Arabidopsis thaliana: one gene and its partners. The protein of the gene in region 1 purifies or fractionates together with the protein of each later gene. This does not show direct contact. Each region holds a gene or a part of one and is shown in the gene's direction. Other genes may lie near its edges.

Region 1 (8,077 bases):
AGTATAAATTAAACTGAACTCTTTGGTTCGGTTTGGTTGTTATAAATGGTGTTGCTTTTCAATCTCATTCTCAGGTCGTTGGCGGCTGTATCAAAGCTCCACGGAGAAGGGTACAAAAGCTTAGGGTGGTTAACCGGAGGGTTTAACCGAGTATCCGAGGGAGATTTTCCAGAGATCGAAGGGACCGAAGAGCTTCGGTTCGCCACGATAGGAGGTGTATCATTTTATTTACTCAAACTACTTGTACTGTTACCGTCTTTTGGCCAGAAGAGTCGTTAAATTGGTTTTTTGGAGCCAAGTGTGAAGACATTTTTTGTTTTTAAAATTGTGTCCGGTTTACACAATTGGTCACTGGTTTATTACTTACAGATGTCTTTCATTAGTTGAAATATTTTGTCCGAATCATTTGCTTCGGACAGCTAATCTCCAAACCTAGTAACAATTTACGTTTACACCCAAAGCCATTAGGCACGAGAGCACATTGTTGAGGGTAGCTTCGTAATTTACAAGAATGTTCATCCTCTCCCAGTCCTCTTTCTTCTTCCCTCGTCTGGTTTTCGAGAGGGAAAAAAAGAAAGAAATCCAGATCTACTAAAATCCCCAAATTCAATTTTCAAAATTTGAACTCCTAGAAAACCCTAGCCTTTGCAATTGGGTGCTACATCTTCCAAATCGTTCCGGGATCGAAATCTCTCGAATTGGGGACGTTGTACATTGCACACGATGGGCGATTTCAACCTCGCTCTCGTGATTGTCGCGATCGTTGTTTGCGTCATCGTATTCATCTCTAGCATCTATCTTCTCGTCAACTATCAGCATCCAGATGATGCAAACCAGGCTTATTTCCCCAAATTCGTCGTTGTTTTTGGCCTTTCTATTGCTATGATCTCGATTCTCATGTTACCGGCTGATGTGGCCAATCGGCATGCTTGTCGACATGCTATATACAATGGAGCTTGCAATCTCACCTTGCCCATGAAGGATCTTTGGCTTGCTATTTATATCGTGGACGCTATTCTCGTGTTCTTTGTCATCCCCTTCGCAATGTTTTTCTATGAAGGCGACCAGGACAAGTTCGTAGCTTGATGAAATTTTAGTATCTCTATGTTGTAAGTTTTGAGTTAATCGAATACTGATGACAATTTGTGGGCTTTTTTTCTTTCGTTTTTTCACAGGACTCTTGGAAAGAGGATAAAAAGTGCCTTAATTTGGGTAGTTACCACGGCTGTTGTTTGTGCTCTGGTGCTTGGAATTTTATATGGTTAGTTGTTCCTCTGTTTTCAATTCTTTTGTCGACTTGAAATTCAGCGTCTTTCTGTATTGACGAATGACGATAGTCTGGAGGTTATACTTGTTTAGCTGGAGTGGTTATTGAATCCATTAGTGAGCATGTGGCAAGGATGAATCTGATGTTGGTCTCTATGATTTGACTGCATTCTTATGTTAATTTTGGCTTTTAAATTACCCAATCAGGGCTTGGGTTGAGATATCTATCTTATCCATTTATATGCTAGGAATACCTTAACATTATTGGTAACATCTTCATCATGTAGGTGTCATTGGAAAGGTGGACTTCTCGGTCAGGCATTTGGCTTCTGCCACATCCACTTTCCCTACTTCCTGGCAGTTTTCAAATACTCAACCATGCATAGGTAACACTGCTCGCCAGGTATGTTTGCCTCTTGAATGTAGCATTAGCATTAGTTTTTATATCATGAGTCATTTATGCCGTAGAGAGTTTCAGCATTTAACATATTCCTGTCTCTGGCTATCAATGCAGTGCTCAGCATTTACAGCTAATCCCACATCTGAGAAAACATGGACTATGCGTACTACTTTTCCAGAATATGTTGTTGCTCTTGCGACAATTGTTGGGTCAGTTCTTTTCACGGTATGACCATTGTTCTTTCATGTTGAGAAGTGCATTGTTTGCTTTGAAAGGATTTAATCTGTCTTATATTGTTGATTCTTCATTGACTAACACAAACTCTCAACAGATGAGATGCATGGCAAGATATAATTCTGTATCCATTGAAGTAAATAGATGTTTGATTTATACATTTCAGTAAAAAAAATCTGATAACTAATTGTTCTCTCAAATATTTCTAGATATTTGGTGGTGTTGGTATTGCATGTCTACCATTAGGACTTATCACTGCATTCATCAGGCGACCAAAGGCTGTTATCACTCGATCACAATATATAAAGGTCTGGTTATTGTTCTCCTCTGGAAGCATCTCTCTAGATCTTGAGTCAATCCCTCTGTCTCTTGCATGATTAACTCCATAAATATATTACAGGAGGCAACCGAACTAGGTAAAAAGGCAAGAGAACTAAAGAAAGCAGCTGATGGACTTCATCAGGAAGAAAGAAGTGGTGCTAAGGGCAGGAAATGGCGGAAAAATGTGAAAGCAGTTGAAAAGGTACCTCATATATCTCAAGGTTCAGTATCTTATCTAAATTTTGTTTCATAAGTAGCAACTTGGAAAGTTTGCCTATTCATACTGGTCCCTTGTGTGTAAAGAGGCTTTGGTCGTCTGTGGAGTTATGAGAATGACAACTTGTAGTGAAAAGCTAGTGAGATAGTAGAATTGGTTATTGACTTTATTGGTAGCTTTTCTTTGCTTGGTTGTGGATTTAAGCTGTGTCCCCTCAATCCTATAATTGAATGTGGTAACCCTGCAGGAGTTGCTCCAATTGGAGGAAGATGTGAACCTCTTAGAAGAGATGTATCCTCAAGGAGAGCAGGTAAGACGAGTGTATCTTAGAACTTATACTATAATATTTTTCTTGTTCAACTATTTTATTCCCTGGTACCTTTTTCCAGGCAGAAACTGCATGGGCTTTCACTGTGCTCGGATACTTGGCCAAGTTTATTCTTGGAATCGTAGGGTTAGTACATCTAAGCAGAAACCTCCTTTGCATTTTTTTTTGTTACATGTTGTATAAATCATGCATAATGCATACAGTTCTTGCATATTTAGGTTTGCACTCTTAAGCTCCCGAGCTAAGCGTCTTTTTAAATGGCAAATTTTTAATGTCTTTGTAGATTGATCGTTTCCATTGCTTGGGTTGCACACATCATCATATATCTACTCGTCGACCCTCCTCTCTCCCCTTTTCTTAACGAGGTTTTCATTAAGCTTGATGATGTTTGGGGTAAGTTCATACTTTTGTCCTTGTTATCCTGTATAAGGTTTCTTCTTTGTTTCTAACTGACTCCATGCTGGTACGTGTGGAAATCTCCAGGTCTTTTAGGCACTGCTGCCTTTGCTTTCTTCTGTTTCTACCTTCTACTTGCTGTTATCGCTGGGGCAATGATGCTGGGTTTGAAGCTGGTCTTCATTACCATTCATCCAATGAAGTAATCCATCTAACCGGTTTCAACATTATTTGGCTATTTTCCAAGGTCATTCATTACCTTCTCTTGATTGCTGATTGGCCATATCAACTTATTTCAGATGGGGAGCTACTCTAATGAACTCTTTCCTCTTCAATGTCGGCCTCATTCTTCTTTGTTCAATCAGGTAAGTCTCTCTGGTCTCTTCTTCTGCCTTTGTATCTGTTGGGATCAAGTGCACTCTGATAAACGGATCTAGATCAAGCATGTTTATGTGCATACATTAACTTATCAGTGTTTTCATGCCATCACTAAAACTAATTTCCTTTCCGGCGAATGCCTGAATCGAAGTTTATAGTTACTTTACTCATGCACTTGGGTATCCTTTGTACTCTATTAGATGTCAAACCAAGACTTTTAATATACAGCTGCTACCCTCACAATTACATGTTAATCCTCACAGTCTGAGTAATGTGGTTCATTTAAAATGCAGCGTGATTCAATTTTGTGCCACTGCATTTGGATATTACGCTCAAGCCACTGCTGCCCAGGAGATATTTGGCCACACATTGCAGTCCCTTAGAGGAATTAAGTACCTTTACAAGTAAGTAGAAGTGGTATAACATATAGCAGTCATATGCTATATCCGTGATGCGTCTTATTGAGGTTTTATATTTCAGGTACAATGTGTTCCAAATCGGGTTTGTTATCCTGGCTGGACTGACTTTCCTATATTACATTGCCTTTGTAAGTCCTCGTTGATGTTACTCCTCGGGTTTTCTCTTCTGTATTAAGTATTTGTAGAATCATATGGTCTTTGGTGTTTTGGCAGGGATGGAGAAGAAAAAAAACTAGTGGCCGTTTCCAGCTCTCTTCTTAATGTAAAACGTTTTCACGGGGATCTGATTGAGTGCTGTCGACAAAGTTTCTACTTGTTTCTGGATCATCATCGATTCCAGAAGTATCTAGAGACTCTGCTTCTGAGGTTTATTTTCCTGAATGTATTATTAAATTTCTTGTGAGTGTGCTGTTTGGTTGCGCAACAGTTAGCTGTCCTGTCTTGGTCTATTGTACTGTCTCGGATGCGATCATGTAATCATATTTTCTTAATGAGAAGCCTTCTTCGAATTTTTACAAGACAGAGACTTCCTTTGTGGTTTGAGACAATTGTAACCGAACCTAACCGGATTATCAATATTCTTGAATTTGTTTAGTATGCAAGGCATACAACTATACAAGTGGACATGTGCTGCTGAAGTGACAAGTGGCGTTGCTATGCGATTCGTCAATAGCTTCTTTTGCCCAATCAGCTTGCTTGCCTCATCTAACTCTAAAAGACAGACAGGATAGATAACGCGAGCTTTTTATAGATAAGGCTGATTTTGTTTCCTACCGTCAGATGGATTTGTTTCTCCATCTAACCGTCAAGATTCGTTCTCTGAGATCTCTCCCACACACATACCGCCACTTAAAAACGCCATTTGCTTCAGATAAGTTACAAACCGCAAACGCGACAGAACTAACTAACGACGCCGGAGATGGCCGCCACTTCAACCGCCGCTGCTGCTTCTTCAATCATGGGTACCCGGGTGGTTTCCGACATTAGCTCCAATTCAAGCCGGTTCACAGCCCGGTTCGGATTCGGAACCAAGAAAGCATCTCCCAAAAAGGCTAAGACGGTTATCTCAGACCGGCCTCTATGGTTCCCAGGCGCAAAATCACCCGAATATCTCGACGGTTCACTTGTCGGGGACTACGGGTTCGATCCTTTTGGTTTAGGCAAACCGGCGGAGTATCTCCAATTCGATTTGGATTCCTTGGACCAGAACTTAGCCAAGAACTTATACGGAGAAGTGATCGGGACTCGTACCGAGGCGGTGGACCCCAAATCGACGCCGTTTCAGCCATATAGTGAAGTCTTCGGGCTACAAAGATTCAGAGAATGTGAGCTGATTCACGGTCGGTGGGCAATGCTCGCCACTCTTGGCGCTATCACCGTCGAATGGCTCACCGGTGTTACTTGGCAAGACGCCGGCAAGGTATCGCCTCTTTTCTTTTCGTCACTTTTGCGTTTGTGTTTAGCGTTTCGACATCTGTCTGATTGTTTTATTTTTAATTTACCAGGTAGAGCTAGTGGATGGATCATCTTACTTAGGACAGCCATTGCCGTTCTCTATCTCGACATTGATATGGATCGAAGTGTTAGTGATCGGCTACATTGAGTTCCAACGAAACGCTGAACTGGACTCGGAGAAGCGTTTGTATCCAGGAGGCAAGTTCTTTGACCCGTTAGGACTAGCGTCTGACCCGGTGAAGAAGGCTCAGCTTCAGCTAGCTGAGATCAAACATGCTCGTTTAGCCATGGTTGGATTCTTGGGTTTTGCGGTTCAGGCGGCTGCAACCGGTAAAGGACCGCTCAACAACTGGGCGACTCACCTTAGTGACCCACTTCACACCACCATTATCGATACCTTCTCTTCCTCCTGATGTGGTGGCTTTTAGCTTCTACTGGTGTCATGTAATGATGTGGTGGCTTTTAGCTTCTACTGGTGTCATGTAATGATGTAACGTCGTTATTTTAAAGAAAATTTGGCACCTTTTGTATAAACGGAATTTCTTATACCTCGCAGTTTGTGTTTACGTAGATCATCGGAGTTATGATGAGCCTTTACATCAAATTAATCGTTTGCTAAATTCTGTCGAAATTGTTCACGTTAAGAAACATAGAATCATAAAGTTGACTCAAAAAGTGACCACCGATAAGTGGATAATTCCATTCACCAAAAAAAAAGAAAAGATTTTGTTTTTCTTCTACAGAGTAAAAAATAAGACGCAGCATCAAAACAGAGATAGCCCCAAAACAATTTCCCAAAACCCCCCTTAACCACTATCCCAACATCATTAGACAGAGCAAAGAGGAAGACCCGCAACTATTCTTTGAAACCTTTACTCAAAACAATGACGACAGAGAGAGAGAGACGCACGAGTAGTGATGATGGAAAAGCCTTTAAATTTATGATTAGAGCACGAGTCTTGCGATCATTCCTTGAGTCCAGCGTGCAGTGACCTTGAGATCTTCATCCTCTGATTCGAGACACTCATTGAGGAACTCATCACAGAAGGTGAAGTTTTGGAACAACTGCTTCGTGTTCTCCCCTACAACATCCGCAAGATCACCCATTGCTGCAACCGCGGCTTTTGTCACGCTCTCATCCCTGCTCCCAAAACAAAAACCGAGTAATAAGTTTAAACTGAATAGTGAAACTAGAAAAGATATATAAATTGATTATATTATTGAAAAAAGAAGGTACGGACCTCAGGGAATCTTTGGATACTAGTTCAACAAACTGCAACAGATGTTGAGCATAGGGCATCATGAGCTCAGCCTTTGCATCCTTGAACCCTTGCAGTATCCCGGAGTATGCTTCAAAGATGCTTCTCCGGAGTTGGTTTGCATAATCCATAAGCTCCTCGTCAAGGGTGTCCATCTGCGCACACACCTGAGCAGCACCTTGCATTATCTGAACAGCTGGAGCTACATACCTTTCAAAATGAGCACCAATCGCCAGAGCAATGTCTCCAAAGCATGAGAAGATTGGAGGCTTCACCGATCTGTGGAGTGCACCACTTTGAAGGTTTTGGATAAGGAGACCCATTATCTGATCGCAAAAGGGTAGGATTTTTTCATCCAGCGCACGGCATATGTCACCAATCACTCCTACGGTGATTGAGCAGACTTGGTATTCTTCGAAATTCTGCAGCCCCATCTGGAGATATTTAAAAAGCTCGGGCATGTATTTCACAAACTCAGTTCCAGTCGCATAGGCAAGAGCACCGATTGCAAGCATGGCTTCTTCGTGGACACTTGAACTATGGCAACCAAACACTCTTAGGAATAACCTCATGATGTCATCTGCGTTTTGCACTATGATAGGTTTCATATCGTCCCTGCTGCTCAGCTTCTGGATTATGACTTGGAGAACACCGCACAGAGACGCCTGGAGTTCCGCTTGCTTCTCACGGTCATCAGTTGATATTATAGGGAGGTCCATTGTCTCAGCTAATTTTTTCATGATGGCAGGGAGGAGATGCGCTATGATGCTTGAGGCCTCTGAAAGGTTTGAACACCGGACAACCTCGTTCAAGGTTTCATACGCAGCACCTCTTAGCTTAGACTCTGCCCCATCTGTACGCTCAGCAGCTGCAAGGAGATGTGTGATGATCTCTGTAAGATAAGGAGAGAGAAGAGAGGAACTTGCTCCAGAGTCTTCATATCCCTGTGCAAGATTGTATATTGCTCCACAGACCTTCTCTGCAACATTTGGCACATCTTTAATTGATTCCAGTAATACACTCACAATTCTAGGGAGGTTTTCGGGTGATATAACAGAGAAGCCACTGTCTGGGGTGCAAAAATTCAAAGATACGGCTCAGAGTCCAAGCAGTTGTATCCCTGACATGGTTATTCTGATCCTTGGTTGCATTAAGGAGAAATTCCAAGCCAGCAGCTACCATCGGGGCAAGCTTATCAATTGTTGGGCCCTCCAAAATTGATCCAAAAGCATAAGTGGCTGCCTCCCGGCTTCGCCAATCTGGCGAACTTATGTTTTTTTCAACAAAAGGCATCACAAGAGGGACTACACCATCTCCAACCGTTCTAGCAACCAGGCCAAGGCATGTCCCGCCAGCCATAGATATGTTCCAGACATCGTCGTCATGGTCCTGATCCTCTTCCTG
Region 2 (9,680 bases), on another chromosome or scaffold:
ACATTAAAAGAACTTCAAATCGAGTCATTTTCATAAACCTTAAGCTATCCTAGCCTAAGCCATTATATGGATTTAAGACAACAAACGCAAAAATTCTAGGAAATGAAACAAATAGAAGAAACAAATACCTGGCAATCTCGGCTAATCTTGACAGGCTTGTAATCATTCAAAGGATTCTTGAGATGAAGTGTTTTCTGAAAAGGCAATTCACTCAACCGCAACCATTTTACTTTAAAACTACGTCCCCAGGGATTGTTTTTACCACCTCCCTGACTCCATATCTGGTCTCGCCTCCAACCCACAGGAGACAACATCTCTGCATACCCTTGGAAGAATCCGCTCATGTTCACGCTGAAGATTAAAATCACTCGACCAGATTTCTACACAAAGACTATAACCTCAGTATACCAGAGAGGCTGACAGTAGATATAAGATTATAGAGCGGTGCAAACTAAAAAGGAGAGATTCTTACATGAAAAGCGCCTTCCAATATTGGCTCATTCATTACTTGAGTAGCCCAAATCCCTTTCTCAACTGAAACTTGAATATTATCATAATTCAGACTTTTGATGATGAAATATCTCGTTCGATACCCTGGTTTACTATTCTTATTCGCCTTTGCACTTTCAAGTTGATCAGGAAAGTTACGTCGATCAACATCCACCTTTGACAGTTTATGGTCTTCCTTGCTTCTGTAACTTGTACTCTCTGACAAAATTACAACAAGAGACAGACAAAATAAAACGCAAATCTCCATGTAAAAAAAAAAAGTGAATAACAAAACATGCTTCAAAGTTTACCTGGATCATCAGAGTTTCCTAAATCTTGTTTCCAATCAGTCAAAGACGAATCGACAACAGAAGCATTTTCCTTAGCAGTATCAGAAGACATGCCTCTTTAAAACCTATATTAACACACAAGAACAACAACACTCAATTAAAACGATAAAACTTGACAGCAAAAGGAGAAAAATGAATATCAATCAAAAGCAATAAAATATCAATCACCACCACAAACAGAAGTCACACTAAGCCATTTAAAAAACAAGAATAAAACATGTATTGACTCAAATCAGAGTGCAACTATAAACATAACCAGAAAAAATCTCACTTTACATGTTCAAATTATCTACACTCCAATGATAAACTAGTGTAGTTAGTAAGCATTTTACCAAATCAATTAGCATACTAACAAGAAGTAGTTAGTGATCATTACTCATTAGTCTACTACAATGATAAACTAGTATCCATGAAACTAACTTCGAAAGTTCAACACTAACCAGAGAGATACTATTTATAATCGAAATGACATAAAGTAATTTTCTTCACCTAATCAAAACAATTCAGTAGAAAACCTAACTCTTTCTCTATTTCTTCTTCCCCATAACCAAACAGAATGTCATAAAGCATAACAATTCAAAAGAACTAGTATCAAATTAAATTCTGAAACCCATTTCTTCCTCTATTGACTGTGCCCCATAACCAAACAGAACCCATTGAACAGCCAACAAATTACAGTGTGAGAATATGAACAACATAGAACAGTACAGTTACCAGTAGAAGAAAAAAACGAACCTTGGATTATCAAAAGCTTTTGGGATAACGAATGAGAAAGAACACAAGTGAAGAAGAAAATTCTATTTAAAAATCCAAGAAAGCCCTAATCTTTCTCTGTTCGCTTCTTCTCTGTGTTTTGTATTCTTATTTTGTTTCTTCTTCTTCTTCTTCGTCTCTCTCTCTCTCTGGACTTGGGCTCTGACAATGGTAGGGTTACGTGTAGGTGAGGAAAGATGAAAATTGAACGGACAAGATGCGATTAGTGATATAATCTAACGGTACAGGATTTGGCTGTTAAAGGGTTAAGTGAACCGCTGGTGGTGTATTGTTAAGTAAAGATAAATGGGCTACCTTCAAATTTCTTTTGACGTCGAGGCCTACTTCATTATTAGGCCCACTCACATACGATCAATTACCAAATACCTAATATGACTTTATTTAAAAACTAGTTGAGAAGTTAAATTTGTACTAAACAAAATATATACTTTGGGTGCCTAAAAACTTAAAATCTTTGAAAATTTAAGCTATCCAATCAAAATAGTACATATTGAAGGGGTTGTATAATACTCAGTCCACAATTCATTTGGTTTTATTATATTATAGAAACAAAAATAATAATTAACCAAGATAGGAGAAAAAAAACTTTGAAAATAAAATAGAAAAGCAAAGAGTTCAAAGTAAACTCTAACCAAATTAAAAGATAAAAAAAGATATAAAAGCATTTTATATTTGGTTAGTTCACCAAATAAAATCTCAAATTCATCGAGTACATCCAAGATTTGGGGAGATTTATGTTGATTAGTCCATTTAAAGTAAAAAAAAAATGTTAGTCTATTCTGACAAACTATTAATGTTAGTAGATGAATAATCATGCTATGCATGAGTTGTTGTTTTGAAAATTGTTAAAAATATGTTGTATGTTCTTTGTTGCTAGTTTGTGTAGTTACATAAATATTTAGATTCATCTTATATAGTTACAATTTTTATGCTTTGATTCATCTTTTGACGTAAAATATCAAGTATATATTTTTCATGTGTAATATAATTATCTATATACATAAGATCTTAATCTTTTTTTTGCTATCATAAATACATAGAATAACAATATAAGATATATTGATATAATAGTTGTAATTATAATTGAGTTATACATTAGCATGATTTTGTATTTTTCAATTTTTTTGAAGAAATAAGTTAATAGTATTGATGGAAGATTTAATGATGTGGAGGACTTTTGATTTTCTTAACTTAATTTTGCTAAAATTTTTATTGAATAATATAAAAACACATGTAATTTTCTTGTATGATAATGTGACATTCATATGGAGAGAGTTAACCAACTTTCATATATATATTTTTTTCGATTCAAAGTAATTCTATGACATAAATTTTGTGAATTATTTGTGCATTATAAACTTAAAAATTTATTTGGTTATTTACATGGGACACCCGTGTATCGAAAAGTAGAGAGAAGATTGAACAAAAAAGCTAACAAACTTTATTTATCTCAACAAAATATTGTTACAAGCGTTAGTTAGAACTGTGTATCATTAAGCTTATATATATTTGAACTTAAGCTCACTTAATCAAAGTTAACCAAATATTAAACCAACATTAAACCAGCGAACCATACATCATAATACGCCTCTCTCAAGTCTTTATCTTCGAAGTGTCTGGTTTCCGAAGATAAAAACATCTTCTTGAGTAAATGATGAAATGACCCCGGATGTAGTGGCTTTGTGAAGTACAACTATCCACAATTTTCATTTATAATATCTAATGAGAGCATATCCGACAATGTTATAAACATTTTCTATCGATTTGTTAGTGGTTTACAAACCACCAATGACAATTTATTTCATGATAGATTCATTGTGTTTTAACTTATGGACAACCAGCATCACAATGATTGTTTTTGTCTATGGTTTGAGTCACAAGTCCGATTCATAATTGTTTGTAAATAAATATTTTTTTGTTGACTAATAAATATTATATTACAACTTTTTCTTGCAAATTACTAAAACTCAAGATTCTTTTTCATTTTTTCAAACATATATATATATATATATATATATATATATATATATTACAACAAAATTCTCTTATAAATTATTAAAATTCAAATTTTTTTATCGCAATTAGTTCCTTAAGAGAACTTATAAATAAATTAAGTCTTACATACAAAATATGTTTTCAAAAGAGTACAATGTGTTTGTTGGTTTTGCTTTCGTGCAATATCATGAAATATGTTTATGGTTTCTTAATTATTTATACCAATAGGTGATTCACCACATGATGATGCATATGTACAATTTATCTATTATAATGAGTTTACTATCTTGACTCCCACAAATCAAAACCCTTATTTTTCTTTACCGTTGTCCGTTGAGATGATAAAATAATAAACTAAAAATGATTGTACATATTTTTGTTATGATTTGAGTTAGAGTTTTTTTTTTTCGTTTATTTCAATTCTACGTAAAAAAAATTATATAAAGAATTCATTTTATTTGTGACTAATAATATCTAAATATTATAATACAATATTTGTTTTTGGTAATTTACCAAAATTCAAGATTTTATTCTTATTTTTTTCAAAATCATGACGTGGAACGCTAGACGATCCAACTTCGCTTATCTCCTCCTAATTTTCCCTCCAATTACACGTTGAAACAAAACAAAACAAAAAAATCAGAAGGAACCTGAAACTATCTCACACAGTAAAAAACATCACCATCTCAATTCTCAACCACACAAATCCAAAGCTTCTAACTTTTTTTTTTGTTCTTCGTCCCGGACAAGAGAAAACAACGATCTCACTCAATCATCGGCGTGAGGGATAAAGACGATGGCTTTTACTCTAACAATCCCTAGATTTTCTGCAATTTCTCGCAAACCCATCACTTGTTCTTCTTCGAGGACACAGTGTCCTGCTCCCTTTACCCATGGACGATCGATTTCTCTCAGACGAAGACTTACCTTATTGCCCCTTAAAGCTTCTACTGATCAATCAGGTCTCGATTTTTATTTGCCTCTTTAAAGTTTCGATTTTTTTATTTGTTTTTGCCTCTGATCTTTCTTTGGGAACGAAATTGGTGTGAAAAGTTGAGATTTTTATGATCATAGAAGATAATTAGATAAATGATTTCCAATTTGTAGCCTTTTTAGGATTAAAATTTGTGTGTAGCTTAAGGTTCTTAAGTTATTAACTCATCGTTATGTGATCGAAACAAAAAAGCACTCAATCTTCAAATTTAGTTGAGAAAAGCTGTTGTATTGTAGCTTTGATTTTGTCTCTGATCATTGTTTGGGAACACAGTGGCTTTTGAGAAAGTTTTGATTTTATTCAATCATAGAATAAAATCACTCAAGCTTTAATTCTAGTTAAGAAAAGTTGTTATATGGAACTTTTTTCCTCTGTGGATTTTTAGTTTTTATACTCTAATCCACTAAAAGATTGCTCCTTGAGAGTTTCCTTACTTCTTAAAATCATTTTTATGACTTGTCTTCAGGTCAGGTGGGTGGGGAAGAAGTTGATAGCAAGATTTTACCTTATTGTAGCATCAACAAGAATGAGAAGAGAACTATCGGTGAAATGGAACAAGAGTTCCTCCAAGCGATGCAAGTAACACATCAAATAAAGTGTTTTTATCATTAGTATGGGTTTATCTCTATATAATCGAGGATTGTTTCTGTTTCTTTTCTTTTGCAGTCGTTTTATTACGAAGGCAAAGCGATTATGTCTAATGAAGAGTTTGATAACCTTAAAGAAGAGTTGATGTGGGAAGGAAGCAGTGTTGTCATGCTAAGTAATGAACACTTATGATTTATAGTTTTGTCAATAATCCATTCGCCTAGGTTCTTGATTCTTGATCTAATTTTATCTATGTATTGTAGGTTCTGATGAACAAAGATTCCTTGAAGCTTCAATGGCTTATGTCTCTGGAAATCCAATCTTGAGTGATGAAGAGTATGATAAGCTCAAAATGAAACTAAAGGTTCTTAATCTATTTATACTTACAAATACTATTTCTTAGTTTCATCCATCTTGTTACATGTGTAATTTGGACAAACGTTATGATTGTTTCTTTGGTTTCTGTAGATGGACGGCAGTGAGATTGTGTGTGAGGGTCCAAGATGCAGTCTTCGTAGTAAAAAGGTAAAAACTCTTAATTGTTCGGATAGCTCATATATTCTTTGGACATTACAGAACATAACATTAGATTCATTGTTTGGGACAAACTCTAGAGATGTTATAGACTTGTGGACCTCCTTGATTATGCAGGTTTATAGTGATCTTGCCATTGATTACTTCAAAATGTTCTTGTTGAATGTACCAGCAACTGTTGTTGCTCTCGGACTGTGAGTACCTCCGGTTCTGTTCCTCTCTCAACTTTCAAATCACATGATCTTAGCTTATGTTAGTTAGTTTAAAATTGTTGTTTTCTTCAATTGTTCTCCAGATTTTTCTTTCTTGATGACATTACTGGTTTTGAAATCACGTACCTGCTCGAGGTAAAACCTCTTTCGACTATTCTACTATGGTTTGGAGAATATATACTCGTAGTAATTGTTCCAGTATTCATGCAACTGATTAAAAAACAAAAACAAAAATCTGCAGCTTCCGGAACCATTCAGTTTCATTTTCACATGGTTCGCTGCGGTGCCTGCAATTGTATATCTGGCGTTATCACTCACCAAACTGATCCTCAAAGACTTCTTGATCTTGAAGGTAAAAACATTAATCATCTTCCAAGATCAGTTCATGAAGTGGAAAAATAAAAGTTATAGAACTAAATCTTGTTTTCTCAGTATCAAAAATGCTTAAACAAGAGATTAGACTTGAGATAATAATCTATTTTGTGCTAAACGCTACAAATTTGGATTGGTATAGTGCCAAATCCTACGAGTTTTATGCGATTATTATGAAATGCTTTTAATTTTCGTGGAACATATCTTTCACAGGGCCCTTGCCCAAACTGTGGAACAGAGAATGTATCTTTCTTTGGAACGATACTATCCATCCCCAATGATAGTAACACCAACAATGTCAAATGCTCAGGGTAAGCTTCTCAGCTGTAGACTCGAATCGATCACACAAATTGTCTACAACGTTTCTTGAAGTCTTATGATTCTTCTGGTTTTTAGCTGTGGAACGGAGATGGTCTATGACTCAGGTTCTCGTTTGATCACATTACCAGAAGGAGGGAAAGCTTAAATCTAAGAGCCAAGGTTTAATTCTTATCTCAACTTTGATTTCTGATGAAATCTTTCTTGATTCAATGGAAAATTCAAAATTTTAGGGTTTTCTTTTTCTCAGGGTTATGTAGAAGTGTATGTAAAATTAATACTAACAAATGAAGAAGGTGGAGAAATTGAAGAAGAAGGAGAAAAACCAAAGTTTGTATGCTGTTTTGTATAATCTTCAGATCTTTTCATGTAGCTCTCATTGGCTTGTGTTGTGTTTGTAAGTAAGTGTGAGGCACATTCAAAGAAAAACATCATATGATTACTTCTTTGAGAAACTTTGCTCTCATTAGGAAAGTAAAATAATTCAAGAAATAAGCACAACCTTGTGTAGTTTTGAAATAATACTTGTATTTTTTTTGTTGTTATAATTTTGAATGTGTTCCATAATATAGTTTCGTTAATCCATGTGAAAATCAAATATGATGTTCTAAATCATTTATAGGTGCTAGTCAAGGCCAGTCCAAGACTTTTTGACTTTTGTGATTCTATAGTTCATTTTAGTATGATTTCTATTAAGAAGCTGATAGATAGATAAAAGTGGGGAACATGTAATAAGAGTTAAGGATTATTACAAAGGAAAAAGTCATACAAATATTATAGCATGCCAAATTCTATCTTTTTAATAAGAAAAAGGTGCAATGATGATGATGACATCGTCGTCGTCCCATGCCCTCTATATCATCATTTACCTTCCTTTTTTTTCTCACCGTTTAGACATTTCTAAATGTATCATTTTAGGATCGAAAGAATATAAGCAATTTACAAGACTACAAAGTGTGTATAAAGTAAAATGTCACGAGGCTAGAAGAAAGTAGGATAGTATTCTAAGCATTATAAAACATCGGTCATGCTTATTCATTATTATGTCTTAAGGATTAATAAAAGATACATAGTATATACTATATACTGATCATGTCTGTCCCCAAAACACATGCCAACAAAGTAAAACACAATCAATATACTTCTCTCTCTCTTTCTTCTTGATCACTTCTCTCTGCAAAACCTAACTACTTCTTCATTCATCTTAGAATCATTGGGTCCTCTTCACATGGGCTCTATACCATTTATCTTCATCATCCTTCTTTTTCATGTACATAAATCCAAATCTCAGACCATTGAATCAGCACATTTTCTTGATCTTATGATCAGAGATTACACCATTAGAAACTTCAACATACATTTCAAGACAGGTGCTATCCAGAAAGTCCATCTTCCTTCGAATTTCTCCTCCATTGATATCGCCACAGCTAAGTTTAGATGTGGGAGTTTGAGAAGACACGGTGCAAGAATTGGAGAGTTTCACTTAGGTCCGGGCTTGACCGTGGAGCCATGTGTTGAGAGAGTGATCCTGGTGAGACAGAACTTGGGGTTTAACTGGTCTTCTTATATTTACTCAACCGGTTATAACTTAACCGGTTACAAATACCGGCTTGTGTCTCCTGTTCTTGGTTTATTGGCTTACAATTCAAATCCGGACGGTGTTGCTGTGAATCCTTATGAGGTTAACGTAATGGGCACGGAACAAAACCCTATTTTGATCAAATTCTTAAGCAGTGAGGCAAGTGGTAGCCCTAAACCTAACACGAAGAAGAACTCATCTGTCTTGTGTGCTTGCTTCACAAGTAACGGTAACATAACGTTTAGAGAGCAAGTTTCAGCTTATGTTTGCTTGGGAACAAGACAAGGGCATTACGCGCTTGTGATTAGAGCTCATGATAGTGGCGGTGGCGGTAGTACGGTGGTAACACCGTCGTCATCTCCGGCTTTGACTGACGGTGGCGGAGGGAAATTGAGCCGGTGGAAAGTGGCGGTTGGGAGTGTGATAGGTTCAATAATTGGAGCGTTTCTGTTAGGGTTATTGGTGGTGGCGATGGTAGTGAAAGGGAAGAAGAAAGCGATGAGAGAGGAGATGGAGAGGAGAGCTTATGAAGAAGAAGCACTTCAGGTTTCAATGGTGGGTCATGTTAGAGCTAATCCTAATGCTTCGAGATCAAGAACGATTCCAAGATTTGAAAATACTAGGTATAAGTAACAAGTAACAACATACTTAAATTAGGTATCTTCCTTCTTGATAAGATGTTTTCAATTTTTAGTGTTAATTCAACTCTGTTTTTTTTTCTTTTTTTTTTTTTTTTTTTTTTTTGTGTTGGATTGTAACTTCTAAGATCTTCATTATTTAGGTGACATAATATGTGGAGTTAACTGTTTTCCAAATGAGTTATTGAAAATATTGTAAGCCGCTTTAATTTAAAATTTTAATTAATTTTATTATATAATACAGATTTATGATTAGTTAAAAAAACTTCATCGTCTTCGACTACTCACCGTCTGACCAAAAAAATATCTAGATGTTTTATTCAATTCATTGTTTTTGTTCACCATCCTTTTATTGCAATTGGTACTACAAGATCCTAATTTATCCATTTGGTAGAGGTGAATTGTTTTTGGATCAGTCTCACCCAATAGATTCCTCTAATAGAGTGAATGCTTTATTTTTTGGCTAAGCTTTGATATTCTTTTGTTTTTATTCTTCTATTTTAAGATTTTCTTGTACCTCAGATTCTACATTTGTTTGTTTCTATTTTTATACTTTAATTTCTCTTGTGCTCCAGTCTCTAATTTTAAAGGTTAATCTAGAACTTTCATAGTCAGACGGTGAGTAGATGAAAAAAAAGTTTTTTTTTTGTTTTAGATTTTTATTAATTATAATAAATAAATTATTAATTAAAAATTAAATTAAATTAAAAAATTATACTAAACAAACATAAATTAATTGTTCCGTTACTGTTCGGTCATCTTTTATGACGATGTAAATAGGAAAACTATTTTGGATGTCTAAAATATTAATAAAATTATTTTGGTAGTTTATAGTAT
Region 3 (7,039 bases), on another chromosome or scaffold:
AGATGTGGATGATGAAATGGATGAGGATGATTTAGATGAGGATTTTCGTGGGGATGATATGGCTGCCTCTGATTCCGATGTCGATGAGTTTGACTACTCTGTAAGTATTCCTGTGTGAAGTCTAATGTAAATTTGCTAAGCTATTTTTAAAATTCCTGTGTCAAATGTATAGCTTTAATGTCAATTAATAATTTCTGCAGTCTCTTACTCTGTTGTGTGGGTTCTTTGGTTTCAGAATAATAAAATAGCTGACACTTCAGCTGACCAAGCCCGGAAAGGGAAAGACATCCAGGGGATTCCTTGGGACAGGCTTAGTATTACGAGAGAGACATACAGACAAACTAGACTAGAACAGTATAAAAATTATGAAAATGTCCCTAACTCTGGGGAATCTTCAGGGAAAGTAAGTCTTCCATTCTCTATGTCTCGTAGGTTTTCTTTTTCTTCTATATGTTTCACTAATATTGGGTTTCAACTGATACTTATCATTTGCTTAATGAATTCAGGATTGCATGGCCACACAGAAAGGGGCTCTTTTTTATGATTTCTGGCGGAATACAAGATCTATCAAATCAAGTATTCTTCATTTCCAGGTTCATATTATTTAAACATATCTATTTTCTATTGAGTCAATGTTTTTTTGGTAATTCCATCAGTATGTCATGTGTTTGGGTAATGAGGGTGCACAAATTGCTACAACTGTCTACCTAAGTTAAAGCTTAAAAGATATGGATTCATAGACTATTTTTATGCGGACATCTAACTAAAGTTGTTTTCTTTTTATTGTAGTTGAGGAATTTGGTTTGGGCAACTTCTAAGCACGATGTCTACCTTATGTCACAATATTTGGTGAGCCACTATTCTACTTTGACATCCGGAAAGCATGATGTTCTCAATGTTCAAGGTCATGTTTCCCCATCTGAGGTTAGTTTCTTCCTGAATGATATAAGATTCCTCTATAAATACCTACATCAGTTTAATGGTTGTTGTCTTTTTCTTGTGTGGGTGCAGAAACATCCTGGAAGTTTGTTGGAGGGATTTACAAAGACTCAAGTGAGTACACTCGCAGTGAGAGATAAATTTTTAGTTGCCGGTGGATTTCAAGGAGAACTTATATGCAAGGTAAGCTCTAGAGTTTTACAATCATGGATTTTTAGTTTTTCACACAACAATTACATGCATTCTAATCAAGGAACTTCATCTTTTTCCACATTGATTTTATTTTCAGCATCTTGATAGACCTGGTGTGAGCTTTTGTTCACGTACTACTTATGATGATAATGCTATAACCAATGCTATTGAGATTTATAACAAACCCAGGTATTTGCATGTCTTTTGCTTGAGGTTGTATTTGCCAACTTGTCTCTTCTAACTGATTTTTTGATGTCTGTCTGTCTGCAGTGGGGCACTTCATTTTACTGCGTCGAATAATGATTGTGGAGTCAGAGATTTTGATATGGAGAGATACCAGCTTGTTAACCAGTTTCGCTTTCCATGGCCGGTGAATGTAAGTCCCTACTTTTTCCTTGATTTTTTTTTTGTTTTTGTTTTGGTATAAGTTGATCTGTAGTGCTTGTAGCAGTAAGTTTCAGTTACAAATACGTTTTGTAATCTGATATCTTCTTTTACATTACGAAATTGTAAATGTAATTGCACCCCAAATTATTTAACGAAAGGGGGTTTTTGTATTGATAGCACACATCTTTAAGTCCTGATGGTAAATTGTTGACGATTGTGGGAGACAACCCTGAAAGCCTTCTGGTAGACCCCAACACTGGAAAGGTACAGAAACGATCTCTGTGTTACGTATCCCTGAATAAATATGCTTTCTAACTAAATTTGGAATTTTCTACAGACACTGGCAACGCTATCAGGACATCTGGACTTTTCCTTTGCATCAGCATGGCACCCAGATGGATTCACGTTCTCCACAGGTAACCAGGACAAGACCTGCCGGGTTTGGGACATTCGTAACCTGTCAAAATCTGTTGCTGTCTTGAGGGGTAACCTTGGAGCAATCCGATCCATTCGCTACACATCTGATGGGAAGTACATGGCCATGGCTGAGCCGGCTGACTTTGTCCATGTGTATGATGTCTCAAACGGGTATGAAACGGAGCAAGAGATCGACTTCTTTGGGGAGATCTCGGGAATATCATTTAGCCCCGACACAGAAGCACTCTTCATAGGCGTTTGGGACCGCACTTACGGAAGTCTAATTGAGTATAGCCGGCGCCACAACTACTCCTACCTTGATTCATTTCTATGATCACCCGACATACCAGAGGAATAAAAGAGCCGATACATATGTGCTGCTGCACTCTCCTGTCGCTCTGTTAAACTAAGAAACCCGAGAAAAGAGAAAACATAAACTCAAGTCGATCTCTAATGGTGTAAATGATGTGTTGTGCAAGTACTAGTAGGAATGTTGTCACAGAGAGCGGATTTAGTTAGTTAATGTTCATTTCTTGTATGAGTGTTGGAGTTCGTGTATTGTACATAAGTATATGAGGTTCGGGTGAGTTTGCATCAAGTCTCAACTCTTGGCAAAGAGACAACTTTACTCGAGTCTGTGGCTCGTTATTTGGCTATGGTCACTTGTAGAGGAACTCAATTTGAGATGTTTCTGCCGATTGTTGGATCAAATTATATATCATGATGTTTCATAATATTTCTGTTTCCTAGACTATTAAAGTGTATCAATGGTAAGTTTCTCTCTCTCTTCTCTCTTTAATATCTTTTAGAGAAAGCTAAACTTTCCGATCAAACCTTTGCCTTCTGGTTTGATTCGAAGGCTCATGTTCCTCACATAGTGGGCTCGTGTCTGGCATCTCTGACTACTTTAGCGGAGTTGGCTAGCTTTCTTCTGACAGCGATGGCTTCCTTAGCGTCGTCTTGGTCGGCACCACTCCGGAAGCAGTAGCTTACATAGTATCGTCTTGACCGGATTTCGGGTTTGTCTCCGCCGTTGTTATGTTTTTCTTCCAGTTGTTTATTTACTTACAATAAATTTTATTAGGGATGTGTTGATAATATCGATTGAAGCGAATTATCGCTTAATGAAGTGTATTATTCGATGCTTTTACTTTTGAGTTTGCAATTACAGGAATTGATTCATAGCTTTTCAATGAATTATGGACTCTTATTGGCTTTGATCAATTTTTGTAAAATCTGTGCCGCTGTGTTTTTGGAATTCGGGAATCAATTGTCTTTTGGAAGATCCTTTCTTTGCAAATTTGATGATGATGTTTGTTGGGATTCTCTAATTAAAAACCGATGGACTTCTGTGTTTAAAGTTCTAGCTGTTTCCGGTGGCTTTGGAGTTTTCCGGTTGTTGCTGAACAGATCGGCGATGAACGGTGACGAAGAATCATCTATCCACGTCTTCAACTTTATTTGTTAGCATTCCACGTGGCTTTGCAGTCGGGAATTATTTAGCTTACTTCCTTAAAGGATTATGTTTCTCGATTGGGCTTTTCTCGTTGGGCCTATGGTTATAAGTTTGTTGGTTTTAGTTTCATATGTATCAAGACCTGTAATATTGAGTTTTTACAACACAAGTTATAAATAAAATACAAACACTTTATGAGAAAAAAGACTATTAAAGTGTAGATTATGGACTAAATCTTTTAAAAAAAAGATAGTAGGTTCTTCAAAGTGTATCCTACTAAATTACAAGGGTTTGAACGCAAATATTTCTTTGAAAATCTCATAATCCAGAAAGAACCAACGAGAGAATGCCACATCATCCATCCGTAATCGTATCCTCACAAACAAAATCTTCTTCTGCTTCTTCTCCTGCTTGCCAGAATCCAAAACCAAACCTTCAGATCATAAATCCAAAACCACTCATTTTTCTATTACTGAAATTTTTCTTAGAGAAGAAGAAGAAGAAGCAAAATGGCCACAAGCGCATCAGCTTTGCTCTCACCAACCACATTCTCCACTGCAATCTCCCACAAAAACCCTAACTCCATCTCATTCCATGGCCTTCGTCCCCTCCGTCTAGGTGGCTCCTCCTCCGCCCTACCCAAACTATCAACCACCGGGAGAAAATCCTCCTCCGCTGTCGTGAGAGCTGAGCTAAGCCCTTCCATCGTCATAAGTCTCAGCACAGGTCTCTCCCTCTTCCTCGGCCGTTTCGTCTTCTTCAACTTCCAGAGAGAGAACGTAGCAAAACAGGGCTTACCGGAGCAGAACGGAAAAACCCATTTCGAAGCTGGAGATGATCGTGCTAAGGAGTACGTCAGTCTCTTGAAATCGAACGATCCAATTGGATTCAACATTGTTGATGTTCTTGCTTGGGGTTCTATTGGACACATCGTTGCTTACTACATCTTGGCTACTTCCAGCAATGGATACGACCCAAGCTTCTTTGGATGATTCGTTTCAATGTCAATCTCTCGTATATGTATATGTATATGTTTGACTTGTGTTGCAAGCTATCTAATCTGTTCTCTATCTCTGTTTCTTCTTCTGTTGTTGTTGTTGTTGTCTAAGACTTGTCCCTCTTTTTGCAAATGTTTTATTTCTCCATTTACAAAGATTGGTTTGCAGAGTTTTATAAGAAGAACATAATAGTATATACACTATGGAAACAGAGAGATGAAATCACATTTTTACTTGCGCTCAAGATTTCGATTTAGTTTGAGCTAATGTTCGTATGAAAAACTTAGGTGATTTGGTGAAGCTAGTTTCATACCTAAGAGAGAGTCTAGATGTAAGATCTCAGAAAGATAAAGCCAATGTCTCAACAAAAACAGTATGCTCAAAGATAAAGTATACAAAAAGAAAACCAAAAACAAAGACATAAACCTTAAGTTTAGATCAAGTTACGGCTGCAAATAAAAAACCATTGTAATAAAGGAGGGTAGTGTCTATGGAAATGAAAGTTTGAATCCTTATGATTCACATCCTCAATGGAAGAAGACTTGGCATGTTTCTGGACCTTGAAAAGAAAGTGACAACTCCTCGATCATCTCATCTCTTGTTTCTTGAGCATATGTTGTCGGAAAAAAGATTGTCGCAGACTTTAAGCAGCGAGCATTTTTCAAGATATATTTAGCTACATCCATCTGGTTCTGCAGCAATCCATGCATCTCACTCCAACGGAACGTTTCGAGACTGGACAACAAACATGTAGGAACACAATTCAGCTGATTGTCCCACTGATTTGGTAGATCCGTACGCCCATTTGGATGATCCTGTGATCAAACATGAGAAGTTTGGCTTAAACATTATAGTTAATTGAACCAAGAGTATAGGTCTCTAAGGAACAAACTTACTTCTATCACGTAAGCCTCGAGCTCTCGTAAATTGGGAGAGCTTTTGAGTAATCGGGCAAGTAAAATTGACCAATCTGAATCACATGAACATATCTTCAATTGTTCAAGCTGGTTGAAGACAAGACCCTCATGATATAAAGACTGCATAAGATGACAAAAGATTCAACTTCAAGAAAACCTGGTTTATTGTTCAACAATGAGATGGATAGAGTGATGGAAACAGATTACCTCTTCGGTGTAGACTCCCAAGCATAACGAAAGACGCTTAACAGATGTGATTGATCCAAAGAACTTTTTGATATTTTGGAATGTCAATACAAAATCTGCCTCCTCCAACTTAGGCATATCTTCAAAATCGTAGAAGTATCGAGGACTATCACTGTCACTCTCATCATCACTATCACTCTCTAGCCTTTCATCAATGACTTTCAAATACTTCAAAGAAGGAGAATTCATCTTAAGCCCATCAAGATGACAAGGACGAGACATCTTTAGGGTTAGTCTCTGCAAGGACTTGACAATCACACTCAATTTCCCCAAATTGTCAATTTTATCTCGTTCCATAACTAGATCCTCAAGAACAGGGCAGTTGGAAAGAAGTCGGTGAAGAGAATTTGCATCCGAGTAAGTCACACGTCCAAGGAACAATGTTTTCAGGGAGGGGAGACATACCTTACGAGGAACATCAACGAGAATCTCGTCTTTCAGTTTCAAGATCACAATCGATTTGCATTTACATAAGCTTTTGGGCAATTTAGTTGGAAGCTCCGCAAAATTAAAAAGCTTTAGACTTAACTCACGGACGTTGCTAACATGAACTGCAAGTGAAACCCAGAGATAAATATCTTTAGGTTTAATTGATCCAATTGCTCCATACCTAAACTTGAGACTCAAGCTTTCAATAGCCGGAGCTTTATGTACTCGCAGACTCGAAGTAATAAATCTAGCCAACCCCTGGCCTTCAGACACTGAATAATGCCTAAAATTGTACTCCAGTTTAGGCAGCCACATCCAAAGAGACTTCCATCGCATCGATAAGATACTCGTGCTTACAGCATCTTTTGTTGAAAGAAATGATAGTACCTTCACGAGCAATTCATCAGGCAACTGACTGATCTTGTCCATTAAATTCTTCACAATCTCCACGTTTCTTTTCGTTGATGTTAACCAAGATTCATTTATCTTGTCGAATAAGAAACTTGGAATCTGTCCGAGTAACCAAGAAAAGAGTGAACATAAGTAAGAACATAGACAAGGAATAATAACACAAAGGAACATAAGATGTATTGCCTTGTCTAGGGCAAACGAACAGGTTTGTTCTCTTAATTAATTTTCTTAATGAATAATCAATAATGAAGGAAATGTTTTAAAAGAAATTGTTTGTAATAAACATGAATTCCACACATTTCGTTGGAAAATACTCACTAAAACATTAGATCTAACATTTACTGTGCACGTTACATTCGTACCATCCATTCATGTAAATCTTGAATAAGCATACACCTACAAGTGTTCAAGTTCCATATATTCAATAAGTTCGAAATAAGTAACACTTTTGCAATGTAAAAGGCGTCCGAATACGAACATGTAAGAATGTAAATATCTTAACCTAAAAGACATTTTCATGAAGCTAACATGGTCCCATGTCAAAAAAAGTTTTAAAAACATGAAAACAATAAATTTTTGAGATTCATTTCATCATAGAACCTTAAGCTATTATGCTCTTGGTTAGAGATGTGTTGTAATTCGATCTA

The links. The genes of interacting proteins can lie anywhere in the genome.
Region 2: the proteins of LHCB4.2 (region 1) and PGRL1B fractionate together in Arabidopsis thaliana (co-fractionation; one large-scale study listed by BioGRID). This does not show direct contact.
Region 3: the proteins of LHCB4.2 (region 1) and PSAG fractionate together in Arabidopsis thaliana (co-fractionation; one large-scale study listed by BioGRID). This does not show direct contact.

What each region holds. Positions count from the first base shown.
Region 1 is NC_003074.8:2,712,839-2,720,915, forward strand, and holds LHCB4.2 (light harvesting complex photosystem II), read left to right. Parts: upstream 1-4,718; 5' UTR 4,719-4,878; coding exon 4,879-5,379; coding exon of another isoform or gene 5,380-5,464; coding exon 5,465-5,827; 3' UTR 5,828-6,085; downstream 6,086-8,077. Other genes in the region: AT3G08920 (Rhodanese/Cell cycle control phosphatase superfamily protein), read left to right, coding at 75-279; AT3G08930 (LMBR1-like membrane protein), read left to right, coding at 724-1,073, 1,176-1,261, 1,554-1,669, 1,781-1,891, 2,110-2,208, 2,301-2,423, 2,686-2,748, 2,828-2,892 and 6 more. UniProt on the Arabidopsis thaliana protein: The light-harvesting complex (LHC) functions as a light receptor, it captures and delivers excitation energy to photosystems with which it is closely associated.
Region 2 is NC_003075.7:7,172,434-7,182,113, reverse strand, and holds PGRL1B (PGR5-like B), read left to right. Parts: upstream 1-4,225; 5' UTR 4,226-4,404; coding exon 4,405-4,570; intron 4,571-4,940; coding exon of another isoform or gene 4,941-4,986; intron 4,987-5,068; coding exon 5,069-5,181; intron 5,182-5,268; coding exon 5,269-5,365; intron 5,366-5,453; coding exon 5,454-5,554; intron 5,555-5,658; coding exon 5,659-5,715; intron 5,716-5,841; coding exon 5,842-5,918; intron 5,919-6,019; coding exon 6,020-6,071; intron 6,072-6,177; coding exon 6,178-6,288; intron 6,289-6,521; coding exon 6,522-6,619; intron 6,620-6,704; coding exon 6,705-6,774; 3' UTR 6,775-6,788; intron 6,789-6,876; 3' UTR 6,877-7,228; downstream 7,229-9,680. Other genes in the region: AT4G11970 (YTH family protein), read right to left, coding at 129-380, 473-708, 801-891; AT4G11950 (transmembrane protein, putative (DUF1191)), read left to right, coding at 7,855-8,838. UniProt on the Arabidopsis thaliana protein: Ferredoxin-plastoquinone reductase involved in cyclic electron flow (CEF) around photosystem I. The homodimer is probably not involved in CEF.
Region 3 is NC_003070.9:20,800,218-20,807,256, reverse strand, and holds PSAG (photosystem I subunit G), read left to right. Parts: upstream 1-3,807; 5' UTR 3,808-3,875; coding exon of another isoform or gene 3,876-3,900; coding exon 3,901-4,383; 3' UTR 4,384-4,587; downstream 4,588-7,039. Other genes in the region: AT1G55680 (Transducin/WD40 repeat-like superfamily protein), read left to right, coding at 1-100, 236-403, 507-593, 790-924, 1,012-1,122, 1,229-1,320, 1,402-1,507, 1,696-1,782 and 1 more; AT1G55675 (uncharacterized protein), read left to right, coding at 3,077-3,403; AT1G55673 (uncharacterized protein), read right to left, coding at 3,876-4,286; AT1G55660 (FBD, F-box and Leucine Rich Repeat domains containing protein), read right to left, coding at 4,917-5,204, 5,286-5,426, 5,514-6,563. UniProt on the Arabidopsis thaliana protein: Not yet known.